Linked DNA regions of Astyanax mexicanus. Each later gene encodes a partner of the first gene's protein in a complex. Links are inferred from orthologs where the notes say so. Each region holds a gene or a part of one and is shown in the gene's direction. Other genes may lie near its edges. The genes, in order: smc2, ncapg, ncaph and ncapd3.

The links.
Region 2: smc2 (region 1) and ncapg share a complex: the UniProt entries of both Homo sapiens proteins name them as parts of the condensin complex. The link is inferred for Astyanax mexicanus from reciprocal best matches to the Homo sapiens genes SMC2 and NCAPG.
Region 3: smc2 (region 1) and ncaph share a complex: the UniProt entries of both Homo sapiens proteins name them as parts of the condensin complex. The link is inferred for Astyanax mexicanus from reciprocal best matches to the Homo sapiens genes SMC2 and NCAPH.
Region 4: the proteins of smc2 (region 1) and ncapd3 are in contact, whole or in part, in a cryo-EM structure (PDB 9F5W), measured with the Homo sapiens proteins. The link is inferred for Astyanax mexicanus from reciprocal best matches to the Homo sapiens genes SMC2 and NCAPD3. Residues at the interface, in NP_001036015.1 of Homo sapiens: Arg112, Ala122, Asn123, Asn124, Thr125, Arg126, Leu218, Lys222, Arg225, His229, Trp940, Asn942, Ala943, Glu944, Phe948, Arg981, Met985, Arg986; in NP_056076.1 of Homo sapiens: Asp31, Met72, Ile80, Pro127, Gly128, Ala131, Phe135, Pro137, Asp141, Lys235, Gln237, Gln240, Leu1121, Asn1196, Asn1200, Pro1203.

What each region holds. Positions count from the first base shown.
Region 1 is NC_064432.1:23,820,370-23,828,033, forward strand, and holds the start of smc2 (structural maintenance of chromosomes protein 2), read left to right. Parts: upstream 1-4,663; 5' UTR 4,664-4,861; coding exon 4,862-5,029; intron 5,030-5,799; coding exon 5,800-5,949; intron 5,950-6,052; coding exon 6,053-6,175; intron 6,176-6,275; coding exon 6,276-6,314; intron 6,315-6,627; coding exon 6,628-6,738; intron 6,739-6,843; coding exon 6,844-6,888; intron 6,889-7,664. Other genes in the region: exoc1l (exocyst complex component 1-like), read left to right, coding at 1,302-1,422, 1,657-1,820, 2,844-3,107. UniProt on the Homo sapiens protein: Central component of the condensin complex, a complex required for conversion of interphase chromatin into mitotic-like condense chromosomes.
Region 2 is NC_064424.1:33,596,516-33,603,780, forward strand, and holds the start of ncapg (condensin complex subunit 3), read left to right. Parts: upstream 1-4,256; 5' UTR 4,257-4,331; intron 4,332-5,401; 5' UTR 5,402-5,415; coding exon 5,416-5,523; intron 5,524-5,879; coding exon 5,880-6,095; intron 6,096-6,184; coding exon 6,185-6,413; intron 6,414-6,511; coding exon 6,512-6,657; intron 6,658-6,789; coding exon 6,790-6,874; intron 6,875-7,265. UniProt on the Homo sapiens protein: Regulatory subunit of the condensin complex, a complex required for conversion of interphase chromatin into mitotic-like condense chromosomes.
Region 3 is NC_064429.1:6,691,533-6,698,610, forward strand, and holds the start of ncaph (condensin complex subunit 2), read left to right. Parts: upstream 1-4,074; 5' UTR 4,075-4,176; intron 4,177-7,078. UniProt on the Homo sapiens protein: Regulatory subunit of the condensin complex, a complex required for conversion of interphase chromatin into mitotic-like condense chromosomes.
Region 4 is NC_064432.1:8,247,254-8,254,683, reverse strand, and holds the start of ncapd3 (condensin-2 complex subunit D3), read left to right. Parts: upstream 1-4,414; 5' UTR 4,415-4,466; coding exon 4,467-4,518; intron 4,519-7,430. Other genes in the region: primpol (DNA-directed primase/polymerase protein), read right to left, coding at 1,055-1,237.

The sequences.
Region 1 (7,664 bases):
TGAAGTACAAAAAAAGTATTTCCTATAACAGCAGAAAGTACAGATTTGTAGCATTTAACCAGCAACTAAACGTACATTATCACAATTCTGTATCACTGTACTAATAAATTACTAATAAGTTTCATTTGAAAGCCAGACAGGGTTGGACACATATTCAGTCGGTGATAATCTTTATAGTCTTTATCATTTTTATGGTATTATGGCTATTGTACCTCAATATAAGGTGCAGCTCCAGTGACAAGCTTTGTACTCTTTTTAGTTTCTACCATAAAGAAAAGCTCCAGCGTAAAGATCTGCTGGATTGCGACACAACCAAGAAGATCTTCAAGCCTAAATCAGTGATACCCTTCAGCGAGCTGATGTGTGTGTAGTGTAAGAGTGTGCAGGTAACAGGGTTACAGGTTGCTAACTTGTGACTCTGACTGGATTCCAGCTGGGAGGGAGAGAGAGAGGGAGGGAGGGGGGTGTCTTCTTCTTTTTCCCTTTTAAATAAATTGAAAGCACTTTAGCTGAGTCTCAGAGGATCAGCACTTCCCCTCACCACCAGCAGCCTAACAGACCCAAACCCGCTTACCTGGCGTCAGCTCGCTCACATCTAATGACAGCTGCAGAGGAAAATATCGATTATCTTTTTACAGAATAATAAGTGTGCGTGTGTGAGATGGATGCAGTGCGCATCTATGTGAATGAATTTTATAGACATAAATTATGCATTTCTAAATCAAACTCAAATTGAATATTTACGGTCGATAAAGTCTCTGAGTGGTCTCAGAGCAACTGGTCTTTAATTGCCTTTATAACAGATTTAAACTGAAAAGCCCTTTGGATCACTATTGATACCTTCAAAAGAGAGAGAGATAAAGAGAGAGAGAGAGGAAGAGAGGGAAAGGGAAGGATAAAGAGAGAGATGAGGGGAGATAGAGAGTAAAAGAGATATAGAGAGAAGCAAAGAGAGAGCGAAATAAAGGCAGTGGTGAGAGAGAGGGGGAGATAGAAGAGAGATATAGACGATGGAAAGAAGGAGTTAAGGAAAGAGAGAGAAAGATATAGAAAGTGAAATATAGAGAAAAGGAAAGAGAGAAAGACAGAAAATAAGAAAGAGGGAAATAGAGGGGGGTGAGACAGAGAAGAAGCAAGAGAGAGAGGAAGAAGGAAAGAGAGAGATATAGAGATAAGGAAAGAGAGAGTTAGTTTTCTCAGTTATCTGTTGGATCTTCATGTATTATTTGAATTGATTTTGGTATACTGATCATTGGTGTATTGATCACTGATATATTGATCAGTGGTGTACTGATTGAGAGATGTCCTCTCTGCTGAAAGAGGAGATGCAGAGGGTTCTGTTCGGACCGGAGGAGCACAGACTGGTGGAGTTTATCGAGATCGAAGAGAAGAAACGAGGACGGCATTTCCTCTGTGTATCCGGTAAGAATCTAACTAACAGACACATTTCACATAAATCACACAAAAATCTTTCAGTCCAGTATTTTAATCTGCTTGTATATAAGGTAAATCTTCATAGTAAGAAATCACCCAAAGTCTAATTATCTATTTGTATAAACTCAACATATGTGTGTTCTGTGTGTGCATATATATGTTGTGTGTGTGTATTGTATATATGTATATATGTTTGTGTATTATGTGTGTGTGTGTGTGCAGTATCTAAAGGTAAGGAGGTGCAGATCACAGTGGTTCGCTGTAGGAAATCTCAGAAGTCTGGGTATAAGAAAGCTCAGCGAATAGGATTGGAGGACAGCTATGTAAAGACGGAGGTCTGGGCTCTGCAGGAACTGAGGGTTCTGGATGGACGAGATCCTGATATAGTGAGTTAATGCCAGCACTGATTCATCAGCAGCTACACCATTACAGACCCCTGTATTCTTGGTTGGTGGGAAACTTGCAAATTCAGCAGCGTATCAAATATGTCTTTTTCCCCACTGTATGTGTCTTATTATAATAATTATATTTCCCCACCTTCCTGTATCTCCCAGATACAGTGGCTTGAAATAGTATTCATACCCCTTGAACCTTTCCACATTTTGTCACCTCACAACCACAAACTTAAATGTATTTTATTGCGATTTGACAAGTGATAGACAAACACAAAATGTTGCACAATAATACATTTTCTATTTTTGGATGATGAATTGTACAGTGCTCATTGGGATGTTCAAAGCTTGAGATATGTTTTTGTAAGCTAAACCTGCTTTAAATTTCTTCTCCACAACTTTATTTTCTGACCTGTCTGGTGAGTTCCTTGGTCTTCATGATACTGTTTGTTCACTCTTGTTCTCTAACAAACCACTGAGGCCTCAGTTACACACAGCTGTACTCTCTTAACTAATTAATTGACTCTGTTGCGCTGGATTGTATTTAGGGGTTTTAGAGTAAAGAGGGCTGGATACTTTTGCATCATACTTTTTTTATAATCATGTATCATTTTTTCATTCCACTTTGTGTTTGTCTTAAAATCAGTTAAAATCTCAATAAAATACATTTAATTTAAGTTTGTGGTTGTAAGGTGAAGAAATGTGGAAAAGTGTAAGTGTAAAAGGGTATGAATACTTTCGCAAGCCACTGTAAAACAAATCCACTGTAAATATTTCAAACACAGACAGTATCAAATAGTGTATAGTCAGGAATGTTCATACAGCTTTAAACTTAAATACAGCATTTGAAAACTGTATGGATTAAAGCCCTGCAGCACAGTGAGCTCACTGATTGGCTGAGAGGGCAGGGAAGCCGTATTGGTATAGCATGATTGATGGTGTCTGAAGGGCAGTTAAATTAAAACTGCATTTAAATTCACATCCTTCACTGTATGATCTCTCTGTTTCCTCCGGCAGGACGATCCCTGTTTCCTGATGCACTTTGATACAGTGCGTCCGGTGAAAGCGGTGAACTGTGCGGCGAAGTATTCCCTGGCCCGATGCCTCCTGGCTCTCAGTGAGACCCATCAGCACAGCGAGCTCCGCATCCACAACTTCGACTGGACCTACGTCCAGCCCACCTCCATCTACTCCAGCAGAGGCGACTGCATGGTCCTGATGAGGATCTGCTTCTACGCCTTTAACCTGGTGTGTCTCACGCTGTGTCCCGTACCTGTTTAGTCTCACTATTAACAGTATTTCTGAATCACCTGCAGCTGTTCTAACATCTCACACTCAGGTAAACACTGAACACCTCACTGCAGCTGACAGTCATTTCATCCTATTTCAAATCTCTTTTTTTTTTACAAATAAGTTGATTTTCATTTATATCACTGTTAACATTTTTTATGTACAATTGATTTTATTATGTTTACCTTGTAGACAGAATAACCTTATTATTTGCAGTGTTTTAAAAGCTACAAATAAAGTAAATAATACTTGTAAATGCTTGATGAATGTTTGAATATTGTGTTTTTATATTTTATTGTAACAATCCATTTGTCATGAGTATTATTTTCATAATAACTGCCTTTAATTCCCTTCATTAATACAGTATAGTCATGAAGTCTCCTTAATTATCTTGTTCCCATGTCTTATATATCTTGTTCCAATGCATTATCATATAATTCCCATGCCTTAATAAGTTGTGGTCATTTTTTTTAACAAAATGTTACATTAGGGGCTATGCACCTTAGCAAAAACATAATATGCATAGACGCCTCATCAACTAAGGCCGTCTATTGGAGCTGAAGTTCAGCGCGGCCGCCCCCAGTGCATTTATAAGTACTGAGGAAGGTGTTTAATAAAGCTATAATAATCAGCTATCATTACAAATATGTGCTTTCATGCTGAAATACGTTGTATTATGCTCTCTAACAAAGACAGACCTATGGTATGGCATATTAATAAGTGTATAAATAAATGTACTGTACGCCTTTATGCATATATATAAATAAAGTGTGTATTTATGTATTGTTCATATTTCAAATGAACAATAAAACTTGTTTTTTTGTTTACTTTGTGTATTTACTTCATGTATGCATGGCCCGGCTTTGAGGATCTGAAATTCATTTAATACAAACTGTAATAATTATAATAATAATAATAATAATAATAATAATAATAATAATAATACAATCTAACAATAAATAAAATAATACCTTTTTAAAGTCTGACAACTAGTGTCATAACATAACATAAAATTAAAAGTTGTATTATCAATTTATATTATTATTAAGGTGACGATGCTGGATTACGCTCCAGCCTGTAATGAGGCATCTATGTACAGCTCTGGAAAAAAAATAAGAGACCACTTAAAAATGATGAGTTTCTTTGATTTTACCAAATTGAAAACCTCTGGAATATAATCAAGAGGAAGATGGATGATCACAAGCCATCAAATCAAACTAAACTGCTTGAATTTTTGCACCAGGAGTAGTAAAGGCATAAAGTTGTTCAAAAGCAGTGTGTAAGACTGGTGGAGGAGAAAATGCCAATATGCATGAATATGAACTTTTCTTTGCATTGTTTGAGTTTTTTTCTGCAAATAAATGCTCTAAATGACAAAATTTTTATTTGGAATTTGGGAGAAATGTTGTCTGTAGTTTATAGAATAAAACAACAATGTTCATTTTACTCAAACATAAACCTATAAACAGCACAATCAGAGAAACTGATTCCGACCTGCAGGTGGCGGCACACTCCGGATATATCACTCACAGAGCGCAGCAGAGGAAGAGCGGGGGGGCGGTCTGGCGCCAAATTCAACATTTGAAGCTTTCCGGCGGTTATAGATCAGCGCTGCTGCTGCTGTCTGTTACTATCGATTATCTATCGATTATCTATCAGTTACTGTAGAGCGTCAGTTATAGAGTATAGAGTATCGGGGCGCGCAGTGAGCAGTACAGCGGGGTAGCGCGGACTTTACAGGAGAGATGTATATAAAGTCTATAGTGCTGGAGGGCTTCAAGTCCTACGCGGAGCGGACTGAGATCTCCGGCTTCGACCCGCTGTTTAACGCGATTACCGGACTGAACGGCAGCGGCAAGTCCAACATTCTAGACTCCATCTGTTTTCTGCTCGGAATCTCCAACTTATCGCAGGTAAAAACCGATTAAATACGGAGCCTGGGCTAACTGTGCTAGCGTTAGTTTATATGGCGACTTAGCAAGGCTAGCTAACTGAGCCAGCATTAGTTTATACGGAGAGTTAGCTAGGGTAGCTAACTGTGCTAGCTTTAGTTTATAGGGAGAGTTAGCTAGGCTAGGCTAACTGAGGCGGTGTTATTTTGTTTAGTGAGTTAGCTGGGTTGGCTTAATGAGCTATCGTTAGTTTCTATTGAATTAGCTAACTGAGCTAGCGTTAGTTTGTAGGTACAGTTAGCTAACTGAGCTAGCGTCATTTTATGTGGAGAGTTAGCTAGGTTTGCTAACTGAACTAGCGTAATTTTATGTGGAGAGTTAGCTAGGTTTGCTAACTGAGTTAGGGAAAGTTAGTTAGGCTAGTTAACTGAGCTTGCGTTAGTTTGTAGGGAGAATTAGCTAGGCTAGCTAACTGAGCTAGTGTTAGTTTATAGGGAAAGTTAGCTAGGTTATCTAACTGAGTTAGTCATTTTATAGTGAGGGTTAGCTTGGCTAACTAAGCTAGTTTTAGTTTATAGTGAGGGTTAGCTAGGCTACTACTGCTTATAGTAATAATACTAATATTGAATATATAGATGAAACAATCCCTAAATTATTAAAGTATTTGCTTCTTGTTGAAACTTGCGTTTTTTTGCTGTACCTTATATTTGACCGTATTGGGTTTTCATTACACATTATAGCTCTAATTTTACCTAAGCCTAATTAAATTATTATTGTTTTTATATCTGCAGGTCAGAGCGTCTAATCTTCAGGACCTGGTGTACAAAAATGGGCTCGCTGGAATCACTAAAGCCACAGTGTCCATTGTATTTGACAACTCCAACAAGAAAGAGAGCCCACTGGGGTTTGAAACCCACGATGAGATCACCATCACCAGACAGGTCAGCCTGCAGGCCTCTCTTTGCTTTATCTGTATTAGTGAAGCGTGTTGTGATAAGTCTGGTGTTTAATTCCTCCTTTGTGTGTGTGTGTGTGTGTGTGTAGGTGGTTATCGGTGGAAGGAATAAGTACCTCATTAATGGAGTGAATGCTAATAATATGCGAGTCCAGGATCTTTTCTGCTCAGTTGGATTGAATGTGAACAATCCTCATTTTCTTATTATGCAGGTATGTTTTTATGTTTTTTTTTTAAAGATATAGCTGGTGGAATAAATTATTATTAATTTACAGGATATTTCTGTTTTGGTAACTGTTGTTTTTCTTTTAGGGTCGAATCACCAAAGTTTTGAACATGAAACCACCAGAGGTAAGTGGTACCACGAGAGAGTTAATATTTTCCAACACTGGTTAATTGGGCCAAGAAACATTTGACCAAATACTGGATTTTTTTGCTATTTATTGTTTTGCAAAATTAAATAACAACATTTTTCTTTCTTACTTTATTAAAAATGTAATTGTTCTTAATGAATTAACAGTTTCTATGTTATTGTAATTGAATCATATAAAACATTTCAGGTGCTAAATAGTTGCTAAATAAGTATAAATCATCCCTGTTCGTGGTTTTGAAAACTGGTTTGTTATATAATTTATTCTTATGTAAATGTAATATTCTTGTGTAGATTCTGGCCATGATTGAGGAGGCTGCTGGTACCAGGATGTATGAGTGCAAGAAACTTAGCGCTCAGAAGACCATCGAGAAGAAAGATGCTAAACTGAAAGAGATTCAAACGGTACTTGTGTTTGTGTGTAGCGTGTGTGTTTGTGTACTGTGTGTAGTTTGTGTTTGTGTAGTATTTTATTGCTTATATAATGGATAAAATCTTCTTTAATCACAGATCCTGGAAGAGGAGATAACCCCTGCTATGGAGAAACTGAAAGAGGTCAGTCACAACACTCCCAGCACTACCAGTTTAGTAATATATTAAACCAGTTATTCTTAAACCAGTTATTCCCAGTTATTAGTTTGTCCATAAAGCTGAAATGTTTGGTCTGTTTATTTTCCACTAAATTCCTTTTGAATAATCTAAGTACATAAATTTAATGTAATTGGATTAATTTGGTATTTTTTTATATATATTTTTAAATGTTTTTCATTAATCTGATAATCCTAAAATGTTATACAAGGCATTTAAACACAAAATGGTCTTACATTATGGGAGGTTTTATTGTAAATTTTATTACATTTCTAACGTTGCTGCCTTCGCAGTTTAAACTGCAGTGATGCAGAGTCAGGGACACATATGGACAGGCAGTAAAATTAATGTGGGTAGCTGCATAGGGCGCTCGCACAGGCTAAGCCAAAGGCATGTTGAATCACCGTAGAGGTTTAAACTGCCTTAAGACCCCTCTGGAACTCTTCTCCGAGGCTTCGTTTTTCACTTCTAGAGTGTGACAGCACCAGTCACAATGAAAAGCTCCAGCCACAGCTTATATAGATGAACATGAATAGTAACTCAGGTACAGCAATAAGTCCCACTTTTACATGGGTCACATGATCAGTCGAGCGTGCAATGGAAACCATCTTACAATGTTGATACTTTTTCAATAAATTTAATTTCTGTCTGTTCTTTCGTTCCGTCTGGGTGGGATATTTATTATTATATGTATTATCATGGACGTGTAATCAGCTCTAAAGATTCAGCATCAGTTATTCACT
Region 2 (7,265 bases), on another chromosome or scaffold:
CCCTTATCTGCTCCTCTGTGTGCTGGGCCTGCATCTGGAAGAGAAGGAACTATTATAAAACACTAGGGCTGGGTGTCCTCACTGAATTACAGAATCAATTCGATGTTGCTAATGTTAGCTTCTCTAAAACTATGGCATGTTTTGAAACTGCTGGTCTAGTGCATGTGGAACAGTTGAAAGGTGGAAGGGAAAATGCTAACACTAAATTGTTCCTTAATGTGACTGAGCTATACATTTCCTAAAAATGTGTGCACAACTTCTCTTGCAGGCTCTAGTAACATTGAACAAGAGAAAAATATAAAGCTTGTCACTAAAATTAGCTTCTCTAAAACTACAGCATGTTTTGAAACTGCTGCTCTGTTGCATTTAAGTTGGAATGGTGGAATTGTTTCACAAGTCTAGCAGACTTTAGAAACTTTAAGTGAGAAAGAAAATTTGCTCGCCAACGTTAGCTTCTCTAAAACTACAATACAGATTGGAACTGCTGGTCTGAAACTGATGGCCTATAGCTGCAGTTGGCTCTCACGCTCTGCAGATAAATAAATAAAGACACACAAGAAAATGGGTTAATTTTAAATACTGATCTTGGTTTATATTATTTTTATCGGTTCAAAGTCTAAAAATGAATATATATACCCACCCCTATTAAACACAATCGGACATGTTTTATAAGCCTTTACAACCTGCAGGTTTAGCACACACTCATCATAAACTTGAACTTAGCACCATGTGTCACAGTTCAAGATGATGGCTCACCTTAATGTAAGCTGCTGTTTGGTCATAGCCTTGTTTAACTTTCTCTAAGAGCTCCAGGTTCGTCTGTAGAGGCTTCAAAGCAGTCTGGAGATTCATCTGCAATTAAACAGATCATTTTATGTGCTGTTAATTCTTCACCTTTAACAGCATTTGAACTACATGAACTTGGTGAGGGTCTCAAAAATCACTGTGAAAAATGCAGCTTAAGAGTTAGATCAACTTTTAATTTGGAGTATAGTTTATTTTATTTCATATTTCACACTGAAAAATGTATATAATAACTTACCTACTATATGTGGCTGTGTGCCCTTTGCTCTAAATGCATAGCCATTGACAGGCATCATAAAAGTTGTTTCCCTCACTTTAGCAGGATCATTTCAGAAATTAAGGAAAAATACAGACTTTACTTCTTGGAAGTAAAACAAGTGTAGTAAAGTTCCTACCTTTATGTTAGTCACAGCTTCATCTACTGAACAGAAGCTGTGATTTCTGTGCATCTGTGAGTCACGGCACAGCAAACACATAGCCTGCTGATCATCCAAACAGAAGAAGAGTTTGCGGTTCTCTTTGTGTAGACCGCAGACCTCCTCATACCCTGCTGAAGATTTCTGACTGGAGTTCTCCCCAGACCCTGCTGAAGCTTTCCGAATTCTGCTCTCAAGAAAAGCCTCACACACATTCTTCAAGGCAAGGTTACGAGGAGGAAGTTCTCTTGAGGATCTTCTTCTACACACTGGACATTCCCGAGATCCTTTAGTCTCCCAGAACTGCTGCAGACAGCTTTTACACACACTGTGGCTACAGGACAGCAGAACAGGATCCCTAAAGATATCACAGCATACAGGACATGAAAGCTCTTCTTCTGAAAGACTTTTTTTAGCAGCCATGTCTTTCAGCTGCTGTTATACTGTTCTTCTGTAATGACTCTGTATGTAATGATCAGATTAGCTCAGCGAAGTATCAGCTGCTGTAGCTCCTCCTCCAGAATGCAGAATAGATTAAGATCAGAGTGACAATAAAAGATTCAATTCCTCCAACAGGTAATAGGGCCTGTAAAGATATAGATACATAGCCAGGGCTGATACCCATTTTATACTCCTCAACCAGAATGTTGGCACAAAGCGAAGATGCTATTATGCTATCCTATTATACTCAGCAAATGGGGTCTTGGCACAAACAAAACACAGAAAGATCCTCATATTATACCAGGGAGTTGGCACAAGGAGCATGGGAAGATACTCATATTATACTTAGCAACCAGGGTGTTTGCAACCGGGGAGATACCTATAGTATACTCAGCATGGTTGCTGTTGTTGGCACACAGGAAGATAGCTATAGTATACTCAGCAACCGTGGTGTTGGCACACGGGGAGACACCTATAGTATAGTATACTCAGCAACCGGGGGGTTTACACTCGGGGAGATAACTATATTATATTCAGCAACCAGGTTGTTGGCACATGAGGAGATACCTATAGTATACTTAGCAACCGAGGTGTTGGCACAAGCAGATCGGGCAGATTCTCTCACATTTTACTTGGCAAGGAACGCGTCAGTCATTCTTAAAGATAGCGAGAGATTCTCCTGATCTGCTACCTTCCACTACCAGATCAGGATAATCTCTCACTATCTTTAAGAAACTCCTGAAGCGGAGCTCTTCAAACAGCACTTACTTAACACCTCTAACAAACTAACTATTTCTAACCTCATTTCCTTCTTCCCCTCCTCTACTCCTCTATCCCATTATTTCCCTTTGACCTCCTTTAGGCCCTGTCTAAAGATGTTTTTTACCTTTAACTTCTATTACTTTTGTACTTCACTATTGTAAGTCGCATTGGACAAAAGCGTCTGCCAAATGTAATGTAATGTAATGTATGAATAGTAACATATTGATGTCTGGAACAGTGAATAAATTAATTGTTTATTTCTCCTGATTTTGGAGAAGGTTTGTTTAGTATCATTACAATTTATACAATCATTACAATTATTTATACATTTATTCATGCACTGTATTAATATATTGTTAAAAAACTATTATAGATTACTTTGCAAATTATTTTTATTACTTAAATCTTAACCCTGCATTTCCGCGAGTGGGCGTGTCTTGGCATGGGTGGTAGGCATGCTGAAAAACTACACTATCCACTACTTTCTGCCAAGCTTTATTTTTCTCCAAACTGCTTCTGTATTTGTGCAAAAATGCATCATATAAAAAGGAAAGAGCAAAAACAGCGACTATAAGCGGCAGAACCACACTGTTGCAGACGTCCCAAGTCTCCTGTAAGTTTTGGGAGTCTACTGCATATCAGTAATAGTTCCCTGATGCCCGCAAGTCAGATAAAATCTCCCGGAATCTAGAATGAGTGGCCCAAGAGTGAATACAAACGCGCTCGCAGGCAACACAGACTTTTTTCCCCAATCGTGTGTGGAAAAGCGAGGGGCGCGAGAGAAAGGCACTCCCCTTGTGTGAATATTCATAAACAGTAGGGTTCTGATTGCCCTGTTCACTGCAAAGAGTCTGAAAGTCAGCCAATCAGTTTTTTGTGTGGACGGGCAGTGTTTTTTTTCGTCCTAGATGGGATGCATTCAGTGAGTAAAAAAAGGAGCATCATGACTCCCACCAAATTTCACCTCTGACAACTCTAAAGTATATTTATATCTGGTAAAAGTAAAAAAATAATGAAATTCTTGCCCGCTGTTCAGTTTGTAATAGTGATTTTAGCATTGTCCATGGGGGACTAAATGATTGCAAAAGGCTTGTTGAGGTGAGTTACTGGGAGTTATCGAGATGTCTGCTGTTGGGGATATAAGTGAATACGGTAGGAATGAAAAATTCACATAGCAGAAGGAGGGGAGATCAGGTCTTCTTGTCTGTGATTCGTCCGAAAAATTATTTGTTCGGCCAATTGGTGTAGAATGTCGCTTCACCGTGTCATAATTAATATGCATACATTCCATAAAGTTGTGCCCTCCTACAAATTGTGCCCTCTCATAGGAAATAAATAGTGTTCGCCTGTTGTCGCCTGCCACCCTGATTTCTATGATTTTACAAAGACTATTTTACCAAAGCTTTTTTGTTTTAACTGAATGTATGATTTTTATCTAATAATGTAATAGATATTTTAAGATAATTTCACACTTATGAATATTAGCTTCTTACATGTTAAAAGATGTGTAAAATGAACGTAACACCTATCACAAAATGGAATCATAGAAGAATGAATTAATCCTGATTTAAAAATAGCCTTTGACTTTTTTTATGGAAATGAAAACCTAAAACTTAGTTTATGAGTAAACAGCTATTGCTGCTTTTTCTCAACAATACCTTTTTATTCTTTATTTCTTCTCATTAGACTTTCAAAACGGTTAAACGTTCAGAAAAAGGAAAGCAGAAAAGTTTTAATCAGATAAAATTATTATAAAGCCATTTTTTCTCCGCTCTGTCGTCAGATTCTACACATCGCGAGATTTGGGTTTAAACGTAGAACTGTTGGAGATATCGCGAGAGTTGGGTTTGAAAAGCCGCGCCGTTTGAAGCTGAAGAGGGAAGGGGAACAGCAGTGCAGCGAAACGCAGTAAATATTCGTTTATTATCGATTAAATTGCCCATATTTATTTGGTTATTGCGCACTGGTAATGGGGTTTAACGGTGTGTGGATATAGTTTAATGTGCGTTTTAAAGCCTTTTAGCCTAAGGACGCCTCTTTTATTAACTACGTTAGAGAGCTAATGTTTGTTTGGGAGCCGCATTAGCATTAGCATCCCGCTAACGTTAACCTGACTAACTAACGTTAACGTTACTCTGTTAATGCTAATGTGAGTTTTCGTTGTTGGGGTTCATTTACGACTGGAGATGATTTATAATACACAATTTTTAAGTTTATTTCAAGGTTTTCCTGAAGATTATCTTATTTGTATCCAAGTTTAGCTGGCATGTTTAAAAAAGAATTGTCCCTTCCACCTTCTGCAGTTGCATTCGGGTGCCTGTGGCATTACTACTGTCACTTCTTCAGATTTTTATGGTATCAAGTAGTTTTATTGTCAATACTGCATATGTACACTACATACAGAGAATTGAAATTACGTTACTCTCCTTCCTAATTTTACAGTTAAAGTTACAGATAATAGATATAATAAAAGAGAATGGGAGACACTATGGGTACAATACAGCAGGGACACAAATAGACATACATGAGACAAAAACAAGGTGCAGTAGTTTGGGGGAGAAATAGGTATATAAATATAAGTAAAAAAAAAAAAGAAATAGATATGTAGTATAAAAGAGTGGGAGACACTAGACATTGTACTATATGTACAATACAACAAGACACAATAAACATACGTAAGACGGAAGACAATAGTGCAATATTGATGGTGATTGAGATGGAATGACAGTATAAATAGTATATAACAGTAGTGCAAATATGGTATATAGCTTAAGGCTGGTAAAGTGAATAAGTGCGTAAAGTACTTAAAGTTCACAGTTTTTGGGGAATGAAATGAAATGAGTGCGTTTTGTATATCAGTAGTGCAGGTATTGGGTGTGTAGTGCAAGTCCGGTTGGAAGGGACAAGTACTTTGTGTATTGTAATGACCTCTACAAATGATTCGCGAATAAACCAGCCTTCAACTGTGTTTTTATCAGGGATTTTGGTAACCATGACTGCAGACAACGAGCTGCAGATAAAGGACGCTTTCCAGCGAGCTCAGAAGGCCCACAACAACAAGGCCAAACTGGTGGCCAGTCTGAAGAACAGATATGTTAAGGTAAAGTTATGAAGCATAAAGAAAACCTGATGTTAACGACAAATTCTTTGGGTACTGGATACTTCAGCTGCTGACGTCTGTTTAAAGTCCACAAATAAATTAAATATGAGGTTCTCAGTTTTTATATAAGAAACTTTAATACAGTGGGGCACAAAACTTTTAAATGAATGCAGTTGTCTTATTCAGTCTCTTTATCATAGGTGTATATAATGTAATAGTTTGCCATGCAGTCTGTTGGTGCAATATTTTGCTTATAGATTACCATTTGTGGCATAAAATTATTTTTAATAATTTTGGGGAAACAATGTCAATTGTAGTGTTCATGCTGAAAAGTGTGTTTGTGTGTGTTTGTGTAGCTTGAAGATAAATCTGAGTTCCATGAGGAGTTCCTTCGCTGTATGAAGTATGCTATGATAATCTACACCAGAGAACCGGCTGTGGAGAATGTGATCGATTTTGTTGTGAAGTTCACTGTGAGCTTTGAAACCCCTGTGACTGAAGAAGAGGAAGTGGAGGATGATAGTGACGATGAGGGCTCATTTCTGAACTTCCTGCTCAACTTCTTGTTGGAGGTAATACTGAGGATTTTGTTTCACCAGGTCCGGATTAAGTTTTGGAAATTAATTTATCAATCAGTAATAATGTAAATTGCCCCCCACAGTCTCACACAGCGAGCAGTCATGCGGTGCGCTTCCGGGTCTGTCAGCTAATCAATAAGCTGCTGGGCAGTCTGAGTGAGAACGCTCAGATCGACGATGAGATCTGCGAACGGATCCACGAGGCCATGCTGATCAGAGTGACGGATAAATACCCAAACGTCCGGATTCAGGCAGCGCTTGCAATGGCTCGCCTGCAGGACCCGAATGACCCCGAGTGTCCCACCATTAAAGGTACACTTCCATCTAAACACCACCCCCACTCATAATGTATTCCACCATTAACAAATCTAGTACTAAGATTGAGTTTAAATTATGCTGTTTGTGTTTAGCTTACATGCTGCTGTTAGATAATGATTCTAATGCTGAGGTCCGACGGGCTGTCCTGTCCTGTATCGCTCCCTCCGCACAAACACTCGCCAAAATCTACAAACGTACACGAGACGTTAAAGACAAAGTCCGGAAACTGGCCTATCAGGTACACTGCATCAGAACTGACCATTCCTCTCGCCAAGCTCCGCCTTAGTGTCTATTGGAATACTTGTATTTATACATGTTATACATGGTGAAGTTAGAACATTATCTAAGTAAGATGTGTGTTTTGTTTCAGGTGATGGCTGAGAAAGTGCACATTCGGGCTTTAACCATCGCTCAGAGAGTCAGCCTGCTGCAGCAAGGCCTCAATGACTCAGCAGGTGGGTGTGGGTGGGTTTTAAATTATATGTATTTATTTATACATGTCTGTATAGTGTATTTGGATTGTTTGTGGTCACCCCTTCCGTTTAACTCATTCAGCTATGTTAGGCTACTCTAATTTGCACACTGCTTGTCCATTCCCTGTAAAGAAACTTCCAAGAGACTATGACTCTCTTTGAGCTGTCAGATCTTCTCACCAGTTCTCCGAAATCTTGTAAGAAAAAAAGTTCGCTTAGGACAGAAGACGGGTTCTCTGACAAAAGCATTTTTTAAAATATAAAATATCATTCATTTTAGATGAAACAATGAATTAGCATGTGTCCCAATACCTTTGTACGTATAAGGTATTTAAACCTTGAAAAATGAAGCTTTATTTAAATAATTTGATCT
Region 3 (7,078 bases), on another chromosome or scaffold:
CAGTATGTGTGTGTGCTAATCTCATTAATGAAATCTCTGCTCCCACATTTAGTGCTGCACTGTCCTCCCAGCTTCTCTCTGCAGCAGGGGATTCGTGCTGCAATAATGACACATTATATATATATATTTATCAGCAGAACCAGAGAGCCTCCACTGGGAAACTCCTTTTTGAGCCAAGGTGCAGCAGAGCAGATAAACCCTGTTTGATGGAAAGAGGCGCTTTTTCCCCAGGAGCCTCTTTAGAACATTTACTCAGGTGAAGTTTGTGTTCAGTCTGTCAAACAGTAAATGTCTTTTTATCTCAGTGTTTCAGAATCTGGGAGTGATCCAGTGGTCTAAAGCGCTGCCACTATAATTGGGAGAACGCTGGTTTGAATTCCGGTCATGCGGCTTGGCATCAGCTGCCGGAGCCCTGAGAGAGCAAAGTTATCCTTTCTCTCTCTCTGGGTGGGTTAAGTAGATGGCACTCTTTCCCCTCATCACTCCTAGGGTGATGTAGATCAGCACAAGGCTGTGTCTGTGAGCTGATGTATCGGAAACCGTGTCGCTGCGCTTTCCTCCGAGCGTTAGCGCTGTGATGCTACTCAGCAATGCTACAGCATCAGCAGCATTTCAAAAGAGGTGGAGTCTTCACATCGTATCGGAGGAGGCATGTGCTTGTCTTCACGCCTCTGGTGTTGGGGCATCACTAGTGATAGGGGATATATAATAATATAAAACTGAGTACAGCTGTGGACTGAATACAGTGGGACAATTGATTATTAGAAATATTAGAAAAAAACTGAGCTTTATTCCATTTACCTCCGATAAATGCAAGGTTCTTAGATCTTGTACAGACTATACTTTATTATTATCCTCCTTTCACGCTGTTCTTCAATATTCAGGACCACACAGGAGAGAAAACCACCACAGAGCAGCTACTACTATTATTATTATCATTATAATTATTGGGGTGGTGGGTGGTTATTCTCAGCACTGTAGCGATTAGCACTGATTAGCATGGTGTTGTTGCCAGGTGGTTGCTTATAATGTCTGGTTCTGAGCTCCTCAGAAATCTCCTTTGTTCGTGCCATGATACACTTCCACAAACATGTTGTGAAGAGTAGACTTTGGATAGATTCCTGTTCTTTAAATAAAACAGGCTCTGCCCACTCACACCCAATTGATTGTCAACCCATTGATTAAAAACACCTTTTTGACTTTTTGGCTGCGTTCACATTACCAGGCTGAAGTGCCCCTTTTTTTTTTTTTTTTTTTTTTTTGCTCAATGTGGCTCAGTTTTTTTTTCTGATTTTTTCAAATCAGATTTGAGTCACTTTCATATGTGGTTCTAAATCAGATACATATCCGATTTATTGACATGCAACATGAATGTGAACAGCCAAATTGAAAATTTATGCATCATTTTGCTTTATGCATGGGCTATGTGCTTCTCTCTCATACCTACGCATCTTTCAGTGTAGCTATAGCTTCAAAAAAACAGCAAAAGCAAACCGCCTGGCCTTTTTTCACCTCCTAGACCTTAACCGTCAAGACAGCCAAATCTGATCTGAGCAAAAAATTGGATTTGAACAATGTGGCTTGCAATGTAAACGTAGCCTAAGTTTAGGTTTAGGTCAGTGTCATGTACTTGTCCTATTCCTTGTTCCTTGTGCTGTGCTTATGTGTTTCACATCGGTCAGGTTGCTTATGTTTTTTTGTTTTCTCTCTTAGCGTTTTACGTGTATCCCAATGTTCATTTTTGATGTATTTCTTGTTTGTTAGTAACTTGCATTTACGTTCTCCTTTTGTTTCTCCCTGCTGCACCCTGACAGATGTGGAACCCGCACAAGAATGAACACTGGAACATGGAAGCACAAGGATATCCATACACAGGGAAATAGGAAACACCTGGGGAAGGTAACGAGGAGGCAGAGTTACAAATGAACAGGTGGAAACACTGAGATGAAGACATAAGAGGAAACAGTACAGAAACAAAACAGAAACACAGAAAACAGACCAGAAAGCACAAGGAACAGAACAAAAGCATGTTTTATTGTTTGCTACGTAATTCCATATGTGTCCCTTAATTTTTTTTATGTCTTGAAATTAATCTACAATGTAAAAAATACATTAAATAATGAAATAAAGAAAATCATTAAATGAGAATGTGCATCCAAACTGGCACTGTATAATTTTATAATCAGTTCCTCTTCTACTTATGTTTCTTTTTAAAGTAACAAAATTGATTAGATGTGTGTGGTTTAAGATGGATGCAAACTCTAAACCTACGATCAGATTTTTTTTATGTTCATCTGGTGCAACTGGCATGTACCTCAGCTGATTATCTAAAGTGGATGTTTGGCAAAGCCAGAAAGATGGTTTGGCCGCCATCAATGACCTCCAGCGGACGTTAATGCGGCTAATAAAGCGAGCGAGGCCGAGAGTAGCTTGACTGTGAGGAAACAGAACATTAATGATGTATTTCTGGAGCTCTGTGATGCTGCTGACGCTCCGGCAGTGAGAGATAATTGGCTGCAGTTCAAGACCCCTTATTAATTCCTGACCTTGTAAAGTTTTCTTTGGCATTCAGCGGCAGAACTCCCGCAGTCGGGCTGATCGCACGGCTCCAACGCCCTGGTGTATCAGAGCGTGTGCAAGTCTGAGGAGGAGAGAGAGATCCGGTCAGTGTCTGAATCTGAACGTCTTCATTATTAGCTTTAAAGGGGGGCTCAATCATCAATAATCCACCAGCAGGTCCCTCAGATTGAGTCAAAGGTCTTGAATACAGGATTTGGCTCATTCTGAAGCAGTTAGATCATGCTGTACCCTGTTTATGGACTGGCACTAGTCCAGCAGAAACTCCTGCATTGTGCCCAATGATCCAGGTGAACTCCAGACCCAGTGTGACCCAGGACAGGCAGGAGGAAGCAGATAAGAACATGGATGGACGGATGGACAAATAGACAAATAGATGGAAATCATGCTCTGCAAGACATAAAGTGTGGAATCACATCATTACAGAGCATATTTTACATTACTCTACTGCCACCTAGTGGCATCTAAGACCTTCACACAGTCTCAGCCAGCACCCAGGTGGACATGATGGGCTCTTACTGAGGGTTTGTACATTGGTACATGTGTACTGTGTTGGTACTGATACCCTGTTAGGCTTCCCAAATGGACCCCAGCATTTTAGGACCATTTTACGCCATTATTGTAATTATAAGTAAATAACATAATAGTGCAATTATACATTGATTTTAAAGGGCAATGCACTTTAAGACAAATCAAATATTCAGGCCGTGTAAATAAATAATCTAAATAAATAAAACAAATACAATAAAACCACTGTTTTTAACCCTTAGATCGACCTTACACAAGTGGATCAAAAAAGACCAGTGTGTAGTAGCTTTCAGTTAGAATAACATAGAATAACAGAATCATTTGCATTTTGTCATTTACATTTTATTTTGGTCCACTCTTTTTGTACACATTGAACAACCTTCAGATTCAAATTACAGTACCAGTCAAAAGTTCGGACACATCTTAAATTATTTTTTCCCATTATTTAGTAAACAAAGTGTTAAAAAAACAAAAAACAAAATATGTTTTATATTTTAGATTCTTCATTGTAGCACCTCTTGCTTAGATGACAACTTTGCACATCTTGGCACATCATTCTCAGTGAGCTTTATGAGGTAGAGTCACGTGTAATTAAAGCTTTCAGTTAACAGCTGTGCTGATCTTTTCAAGAGTTAATTACTTGAATTTCTTGTCTCTTAATGTGTTTGAGAGCATCAGTTGTAAAGTTGTGAGGAGGTAGAGTTACAGGTATACAGTGAATAGCTCTATTTGAATAATGTTCCATAACATATTATGAAAAGCAAGAACTACTCAACTAATATTGAGTAATATTACATATCAAATGTAGATATTTTCACATTTTAAAACTTCGTAGCACGTTTAAGCACTTTTTTATCCAAAAACTGACCCGGGATCAGATTAAACAGCCTATTTAACTTACAGCCTTAAGTACATTCATATATCTTACATCTGATCCCAGGTCAGCTATCCGAAGCGCACGGCGTCGTACGTAATTACGTCACTAGCGACGCAGGACGTACGTAAACCGTTCGGCGCTAATTTTCAAACGGGAGCCGGAGAGCAGGAGTAGAGGACCGGAGCGTATTAAAGGTAAATTTGCCGATATTTTCAGTTTTGTTAGTGCTTTATATTCTGTTTTACGAGTTTATAGCGCTTTCTGAACTGTTTATATCCGCCGGTTTGGACTGGAGCAGCGCAGAAATCAAGTAAAAGCGAATTTGTTTGAGTTCGTTAGGAAGAAGTGATGTTTAATACAGGCTGTGTCCCAATAAGTGATGTGTGTCTACTAACCAGGGCGCTTAACGGCCGTTGTACTGCGCACTAGGTAGGCGTTTTAGGAAGAACACACGGGTGTTTATTGGAACACGAAGCGGCGATAGGTTTAACTTGCTAGCTTGATAGTTAGCTTAGCTTAGTTAAGCTGTTTAGCTCAACGCTTTCTTTTTTTAAAATAATTTATTATTTATTTATTGGAACACAAGTTGGCTCGCTAGCTTGATAGTTAGCTTAGTTAACCTTTCTAGCTAAACGTTTGTTTGAGGAAGATATCTAACGTTACTATCTAACGTTATGTTTTACAACTCGCTAAATTAAACACAGATTATATAACGTTAGTTAGTAAGTTAGTTGGGCAGTTTTATATCCGTTATTTATCCATCTTGGTGTCCTCCTTAATACATTAAAATTAAAAGTTATTTTAATATCGTTCTAAATTATATAGCTCAGTTAATTCATATGTTTTAGGCTTTTACTTCAGACCAATAATATTATAAAAGAGAAGAAAGCTGTCTGGTAGATTGTAGGCTAATGCATATGCTAACAGAGCCACTGCAATCCGTAAAATTAACATAATAAACTGCTAGAGTATTATCTTTGATATAAACATAATTAGCACAGGAAGTTAACAAAAATCTAGCTTTTTAATGTAAAATAAAACAAGATAATACTGTATTAATCCTACAGCTGGGCATTTTTTCATGTTGTAGCAGCTCGAAGAAATGAAAAGAAGTGTCAGCGAATTTATATACAGACAATATACAAAAGGTTCCTTTAGCACAGAAAGGGTAGCTAGCTAATGCTAGCATAGTAATATCTAGTTCTAATAACAGCTGAATGCAGCACTAATGAGCTGTTATATAAAATTAATTAAGACTCTGTCAAAGTAGAAAACAAGCATAGAAGAATTACCTTTTCTATTTTCATATTTTTTTTAGCTATGTTTTTTTTTTTTTAAACACAGGTTATCTAATCTAACTATATAGATAGACAGTCAATAGCTAGCTCATTTAGCACAGAAAGCTAGCACACTGCCAAAAGTTGGTAGTCCTGCTGGAAAATGAAATCTGCATCTCCATAAAAGTTGTCAGCAAAGGGGAGCATGAAGTGCTGTAAGATTTTGTGGGAAAACAAAACTGCACTGACTTTAGACTTGATAATAAAACACAGTGGATCAACACCAGCAGGTGACATGTCTCTCCAATATATCAAACCATCACTGATTGGTGGAAACGTCACACTAGACCTCGAGCAGTTTGGACTGTGTGTCTCTCCACTCTTCCTCCAGACTCTGCTCCCTTGATTTACAAATGAAATGTAACATTTACTGATGATCAGTGATGGTTTGGAGAGTCATGTCTGTCATCTGCTGGTGTTGATCCACTGTGTTCTATTATCAAGTCTAAAATCAGTGCAGTTTTGTTTTCCCACAAAATCTTACAGAATCACTTCATGCTTCCCCTTTGCTACTGACAACTTTTATGGAGATGCGGATTTCATTTTCCAGCAGGATTACCAACTTTTGGCAGTGTGCTAGCTTAACAAAATAACCAGCAGTGATAAAAGCTCACCTTAACTAAAAACTAAAAGCTTTCTGTGCTAAATGAGCTTGCTATTGACTGTCTAATTAATAGGGGTGTCACGATTCTCTAAATCCTCGATTCGATTTCATTTTCGATTTGAGGGTCACGATTCGATTCGATTCTCGATTTTCTTGTTTTTTTTTCTTGTTATTATTTTATGCCTCATAAAATTTAAATAATATATTTATTATTATTATTATTATTATTATTATTATTATTATAAATATTATAAATATTATTATTATTATTTATTAAGATATATATGGTAATGCCATCTAGTGACTTTTTTTGGTAGCAACAGTGTGCACTATTAAAACAAGCAGTTTATCAGAGCTGTGTGTGGATGGCTGGTGAAACTGCTCATTACATGAAGCTGCAGTTCTTCATCCAACCACTAGCAGCAGCAGCACAAGCCCCGCTCTCTTCACTCAGTCACTACTTCAGTACAGCCCAGCCACGGGCTACAGAGCTCAGCCAGTCCGTTTTTACTGTTTCTGTAAACAAATAAAGGTTTTAACCCCACTAACCGGATAATACAGCTCACTACAGTTCATCTTTCAGCCCAAGCAGCTAACAGCAGCAGGTTAGAACAGCCGACACGGAGTCACTGCTGGGATTACATTATAAACAGGTCAGTTAGCGCGCTGCTAACCTCAGGATGTTTATAACTACGGAGTTTAGTGGACACACCACGGCCGCCAGGTAAGTCTTTTAAAGGCTACTGAAGACTATTAAAGGCTATTAGAGTGTAACCCCTGGCTCCCAGGGGTTACAAGAGGTTATTGAAAGCATTATTGGGGGGCAGAAATCAGTACAGGCTGGTTAGATAAGTGATGTGGGTATTGTCTTATAAATATTTACACATAACTTATATCTCTCCTGAAAAGCTTTTATTTTAGTCAGAAACACGCTTGTGTTTACTTTATCTGAGAGAAAGATGTTTTTTTAATTCAATGGAAAGCAACAGGTGTAGTCAATTATAAGTTTAAGATTTTTAATCCACCTCACTGTAATCTATAGTCAGTGTTCTCAAGTCACACTGACACACGCATTTCAGCGAGTTCACACGCTCTCACCTGCGCGCACCCACCCCTCCGTCAGATACAGATACAAAACCTGCGCGCCCAACCCCC
Region 4 (7,430 bases), about 16 Mb from region 1:
TTGCGTTGCCCTAAATCAGGGGTTCTTAACCCTTTTCAACCCTTTATAGGATGTACATTTATTTTTATTTAATAATATTTACAATTAATAAATGCTTAATAAATATGTGCCGTTTTAAATTTTCAATGGTGATTTTAATGTTTTTTTTGTGTTTCAAGCAAAAAAATGCCTTAAATATATAGTTTTCGTTAATATGGTGACTAACCAACAATTTTTTTTTTAAAATAATGCAAAATATTGCTTATTATTGTTATCGTTGAAATCATCTCTGGCAGGAGGTTCGATTTGACCTCATAATATTAATTTAGGTTGGCAGATTTGTAAGCAGATTTTTTGTTTTACAGCAGGTAATACAATCAATCAGGAAAGAAACATAATTTTATACATATATTTCCAAAAAGGAAGTCTTAAAATATATAGTAATAGACAGCAACATGCTTAGAGAAAAATGATTTAGAGTATAAGCTTTGTCAGGTCAAACGCTTGTCCCACTTGAAGAAACATGAGAACAGCTTTATCTAAGGAGCTCCTGCTGCTGTTTCTTACTGTAAAATAGAACAACAACAGCAAATGACCAAAGTTTTCCCAATTATTAAGAAAAAGAGAGGAATGGAATTACACAATTGTTCCACAGCTTGGAAAAACTTTCCTCTCATTCCCCAAAGAGCCTAGAATCAGTCCTGAATGCGAAATCCTCATTCAGTCATAACCTATCCCTAAAACTCTGTATACGAGGTGCAAAAAAACATCAAGAGCAGTAACTTTAGCCCTGTATCAACATGTTATTACTGTAGCATGAAAAATAATTGTTGTTTTTTGTATTTTCTTTCTCTTTTAAAAATCAGAAAAAGGTCCTGAAAAAGTATTGTCTGAGGTTTAGTATCGAATTCAAAGTATCGCATCGGTATTGAAAATTTAAAAACATTACCCAGCCCTATTCACAACCCCCAAGGTTGTTAAGAATCCCTGCCTTAAATATTCAGTATATTTTTATTAAATATTTCTGCAAGTAGTTGATTGGTTAGAAGTTATGAAGTGAAATCAGCTGTATGACCTGTTTGCAGCGCTGGCTGAAGGCGATGGCGGCGCTCTGGCGTGGGAAAAGCCTCCAGACGGAAGAGGGCTGCCACGGGCGAGACAGGCGAGGTTTATATGGAGAGCAAATAGGAGCAGATTGAAAGGACTGAGCTCTCTGCTCTACAGACTTCACTCTATCCAGCCACTTTCCCTTCGTCATCCTGACACTGTAGCCGGAGATTCACCTGCAAAACAATAAAAAAAAAAACATTACATATATATTATAATATATAGTATGATATATATATATATATACATATATATATATATGTATATATATATATATATATATATATACATATATATATATATATATATATGTATATATATTATATATATATATATATATATATATATATATATATATATATATATATATATATATATATATATAGCAACTGCTTAGCAACACGTTAGCAACCACCACGGATATCATAGCAACCACCTAGTAACACCCTAGCAACCACCATGGATGCACATGGAAACATGTAATCCGATTTATGTAAATACATTACTTAGCAACCACCTACCAACCTCTTAGCAACACCATAGCATCACCTTAGAAACAACAAAGCAACTACCATGGATACCATAGCAACACTTTAGCAACCACCTAGCAGCACCTTAGAAACTACATAGAAACCGACATAAATACCATAGCAACAACTTAACAATCACCAAGCAACTGCTTAGAAACTACATAGCAACCAACATGGATACCATAGCAAGAACTTAGCAACAACCTAGCAACCGCATAGCAACACTTTAGCAACCACCACAGACACCATAGCAACCACCATGCACACCACACCAACACCTAAGCAACCACCTAGCAACTGCTTAGCAAGACGTTAGCAACCACCAGACACCATAGCAAGCGCCAACAAGATAGCAAAACCTTAGCAACCACTTAGCACCACTTTAGAAACAATATAGCAACCACCACGGATAACATAGCAACACCCTAGCAACCACCATGGATGCACATGGAAACATAATCCGATTTATGTAAATACATTACTTAGCAACCACTAAGAAACTAAATAGCAACAAACATCGATACCATAGCACCACTTTAGCAACCACCTAGCAGCACCTTAGCAACCAACTACATAGCAACCAATACATATACCATGGCAACACCTTAGCAACAACCTGCTCAGCAACACCTTAGCAACCACCAGACACCATAGCAACCACTTAGCAACAACTTAGCAACCACCATGGATACAGTAGTAACACCTTAGCAACCACGTAGCAACTGCTTGAAACAGCTTAGCAACCACCACAGACATCATAGCAACCACGTAGCAACAACCTAGCAACCGCTTAGCAAACACCACAGCAACACCTTAGAAACAACATAGCAACCACTTAGCAACCACCACAGACACCATAGCAACTACTTAGTAACCACCACAGACACAATAGTAAAACTGTAGCAACCACCACAGATACCATGGCAACATCTTAGCAACTACCAAGCAACCGCTTAGCAACACCTTTGCAACCACCTAGCAACTGCTTAGCAGCAACACCTTAGCAAACACCACAGACACCATAGCAAGCGCCTAGCAACCACTTAGAAACAACATAGCAACCATCCTGTGTTTTCTTCAGGAAATGCACTTTTCTTGTTAACTCTAATATTAATGTTACAGTTGAGTTAAATAGTTGGCGAGTTTAGCAGAGTTGTTTTGGACCTGATACTTGTGAGTCAAGAGAGATAACGTTAATTAGTTACAAGGTAACTGTGCGTTGGCTTAATTATCTCGCGAGAACTAGTTTATAGAACTGGCGTTAAAGCAACAGGACTTTTGATAGCTTGAGCTAGGCTAGCTTAGCTAAAGATTGAACACTCACCTGTTAACCTGAGGATTTACAGTCTTATAAACGCCTCTTTTCACCGAACCAAAGTCTTTTTCACATGTTCCAATCAGTCCTCGCGATTCTTTATCCTCTAAAACCCGGTTTTTACAGTTTCTCCGCTTTTCTCAGCGCCTCGCTTCTTCCTAACCAAACTTTCAAACCCGCCGCGGTTTGTTTTGATGTTCGCGGGGCCGCGGGGCACGCCGGGAAACCCAGCTGTTCCGCGGCTAGGGCTGCGGCTGTGTTCCGATTGGAGGAGGAAGCTCCCTTCCTTATACTACGCTCCCTATCTAGTGCGCTGTGGTCTCTCTGTCTCTGGCTAGCCTTCAGCTAGTGCACTAGTACACAGAGAGAAGTGCCCTAGCTCAACAGCGCTTGGGTTTGGGTTTATTGGGACACCGCCCATCTCCGCCGTTACATCAGAGAATAGTGAGTGCGCGCCGCTAGAAGGAGCCAGCGAGGGAGACCAAAATGAATGGGAGGGAATGGATCTAAACGGCAAACTTAACACAATTATTATAATTATACATATTAATTTACATTTAAATGAATCTTTTTGTAGTATCTTCAGTTGTTGTAGTATAATATTCCTGAGATTAAATAAAAAAATTGTCATATTGCCAAAAATATATTGTTACTACAAAAATACCCTAAAATATTGTGATATTATTTTAGGCCTATATCACCCAAGCGTTTTTTTTAAGTCTTTTAAACATATAACGTGGTATGTTTTAATTACTTGAGAGGAACACATTTCAGCTATTAATGAAAAAAATATGTTTTAGAGTTTAGTGCCTCTTTAATATCGGATAATATCTTTGAGTGTAAAAGAAGAGGTAAGATTTAGGGGCACATTGAAGATCATTCATGCCCCTCTCACCCAGCAGGAGAAGCAGAGAAGGTATACAGAGGAGATTGCCCACTTTAGCATGTGTTCAGAGTGTGTTTGCCACTAGGGGGCGCTCCCTAGTGAGACAAAAATGAATGGGTTTTAATGGAGCAAATGAGAAAAATCAGAATTTATTAATGTTTTATCATTTTTATAATAAACAATGCCCTCATTTTATATAAAAAACACAAAATGTATTGTTTTAGCACTGTATAAATAATTTTAAAATATTTTAAACTCCAGTTATACACTTTTTAAACCGTCTCTCTAGCGCGCCTCACCTCACCAACCAATCAGCTCACAGCGATAGCAGTAACGCTAGCGTCTTTACGGCTTAAAACCTGTTTACTTTAGCAAAATAAAAGTATTAAAGTAGGCTTTCTTTACTGCTTTTGTAAGGTATTTTAATTTACTATAAAACTGTTAAGAAATATCCCTGAGGAGTAGTTAGTTAATATTTTTAATTTGTGTTTTTAGCCGTTTAGCTCCATTCACGCTCATTCATTTCTGACTCACTCGCGGGCTCCCCCTAGCGGTTTGCAGTCCTTTACTGCAATAAAGTGGGCAGGCTCGCTATAAAGCGGCTGTGGCGGCAGCAGTTGGCGGGTTGGCGGGTTGATTCAAATGAAAGATGGCGCTGATGCGGGTCGTGGAGCTGCTGAGACTCAGCGCGGTTTCTACAGGTAATTAATGCGTTTATAATGAAGAGAGCGGACACAAAATAATGTTTAAGACCTTTAGTATTAGGTACTTTAGTTTATACGAAAAAATACAGCGCATTTGTTCGGAAAGTAGCTCATTAGCTAGCTAACCTACTTAGGTTAGGTTGCCGGTGTTGCTAATCTAACTTACGATAACCAAAACATTAACCTTACCTAGCTAGGGTTAGTTAAATTAAATAACGTTAGTTAGCCTTTATTCTCGTTCAATAAATATCTTTCTACCCTCCACAGACTGTTTTAAGAAAATGCATTAATATGTGTCTTTTAGAATCGAAAATTGGCTTAGAATTCACTTGTAACGTTACTCATGAATTGACCGAAGCATAAATAAGAATATCTGGGTCCTGAATAGGGTTGAGAGGTTTATAGAATTTGATTAATTTTAATTGACACCACTTATATAAATACAATTGCATTTTACATTTCTTACGTTCATTCTTTTATGTACATTTCAATATCCACTATGATAATTTACGTCTGTGGAAAAACAAATGCGATTAATCGCAGTTAATAGAATTAATCTACAGGTTTATTGCTGTTTTCACAGAAGTTAAATTGGAGAATGTACCTTTTTATTTGATCTTTAACTGCGTATAGAAGCTTCCAGAAAGAATTTCACTAGCGTTTGATAACTAGTAGGGGGTGAGTGATAGTGCTCTAAAATAATAATCACAATATTTAAGGGAATTTTTTGTGATAATGATAATTTTGGCGATATAAAAAATCATTGACAATTTTAAAATTGATTTCCGAATCATATTAAAGTTATGTTTTGGTTTCAGTTTCATACATTTAGCAGAAATAAGTAGTAGAAAAAATAAACAACTGATATTTTGGTAATTATCATGTGATCTTTGTGGTGTTTGGATGCTTTGAGGAACTTACAGGATGGTATAAATGTGTAGAGAGTCTTATAAAAGCCCTATTTGGACAGGATTAGTTTCTCAGAGGGTTCTGGGGTCATTTTCTGGTTTATGGGGGGGTCCTCTGTGATTTTTATTCCTGTCCAGAACGACCATGTAGCTATGTGTTTTCTCAGACTCTGTCCTCTGCGAACATTACAGGCTGAAGTATCTACTGTTTTTCGCTGAACTCCGTGGCCCTCCGGTAATTTTAGCCCCGTCCGGACGCAAATCTGAGTTTTGTCACTTTGCGTTTAATAAAATGGCTATTTGTCCGCTGCCGCGCACTGTAGTTACATTTTGGGAGCTCGTTTCCACGGAGATGCATGTAAAACATGGAGAGTGGAAATGGAGGAGCTACTGAACATGATGTTATGTGATCGAGAAAGCCTAAAAACTCACTGGTCGTCCTGTTTTTACAACTACAAGAGTTTTATCACTGAGTAGAAGTATTAAATATTTTTCACAGACGTCCCCCTGAGAAACTAATACCGTCTAAGTGCTAATTCAAATCAATAAATCAAGTTTTTAGAAACAGTATGAATTCTTTTTAGTTGAACACTGGCCAGTGTTCTCATGGCAATTAGGGGTGTCACGATTCTCTAAATCCTCGATTCGATTTCATTTTCGATTTGAGGGTCACGATTCGATTCGATTCTCGATTTTCTTGTTTTTTTTTCTTGTTATTATTTTATGCCTCATAAAATTTTAATATATTTATTATTATTATTATTATTATTATTATAAATATTATAAATATTATTATTATTTATTAAGATATATATGGTAATGCCATCTAGTGACTTATTTTGGTAGCAACAGTGTGCACTATTAAAACAAGCAGTTTATCAGAGCTGTGTGTGGATGGATGGTGAAACTGCTCACTTACATGAAGCTGCAGTTCTTCATCCAACCACTAGTCGGAGCTGCAGTCGCAGCTCACTACTTCAGTACAGCCCAGCCACGGGCTACAGAGCTCAGCCAGTCCGTTTTTACTGTTTCTGTAAACAAATAAAGGTTTTAACCCCACTAACCGGATAATACAGCTCACTACAGTTCATCTTTCAGCCCAAGCAGCTAACAGCAGCAGGTTAGAACAGCCGACACGGAGGCACTGCTCGGATTACATTATAAACAGGTCAGTTAGCGCGCTGCTAACCTCAGGATGTTTATAACTACGGAGTTTAGTGGACACACCACGGCCGCCAGGTAAGTCTTTTAAAGGCTACTGAAGACTATTAAAGGCTATTAGAGGTTATTGAAAGCATTATTGGGGGGCAGAAATCAGTACAGGCTGGTTAGATAAGTGATGTGGTGAAACTGTGACTAGCGCTGTCACAGTGATGTTTATTAACGTCATTAAAACAGATTTTGTCAGGTATTGTCTTATAAATATTTACACATAACTTATATCTCTCCTGAAAAGCTTTTATTTTAGTCAGAAACACGCTTGTGTTTACTTTATCTGAGAGAAAAATGTTTTTTTAATTCAGTGGAAAGCAACAGGTGTAGTCAATTATAAGTTTAAGATTTTTAATCCACCTCACTGTGATCTATAGTCAGTGTTCTCAAGTCACACTAACACACGCATTTCAGCGAGTTCACACGCTCTCACCTGCGCGCACCCACCCCTCCGTCAGATACAGATACAAAACCTGCGCGCCCAACCCCCGCCCCCCCTCCCCCGTTGGACAGATAAAAAACAGTGATCACACTCCCGCCGACACTCAAAACTTGAGAGCCCTGTCTATATTTCTATAAATCCGTTTTCAGTTTCTCCTCAGTGGTTGAAAGGCAGCTGTCTCTCACACAGCAGAACTGAGGGCGGGGCTGCGCTATTAAATGAATAGGATGCGCTGTGTTGGTGCCGGGCCATTTGCATAGCGCGCTGCGCTATTTGCGGGAGGGATCGTCGATCCTCTTTTTGACTTCGATACTCGAGACCATGACCTCATTTCGATTCGATTTCGA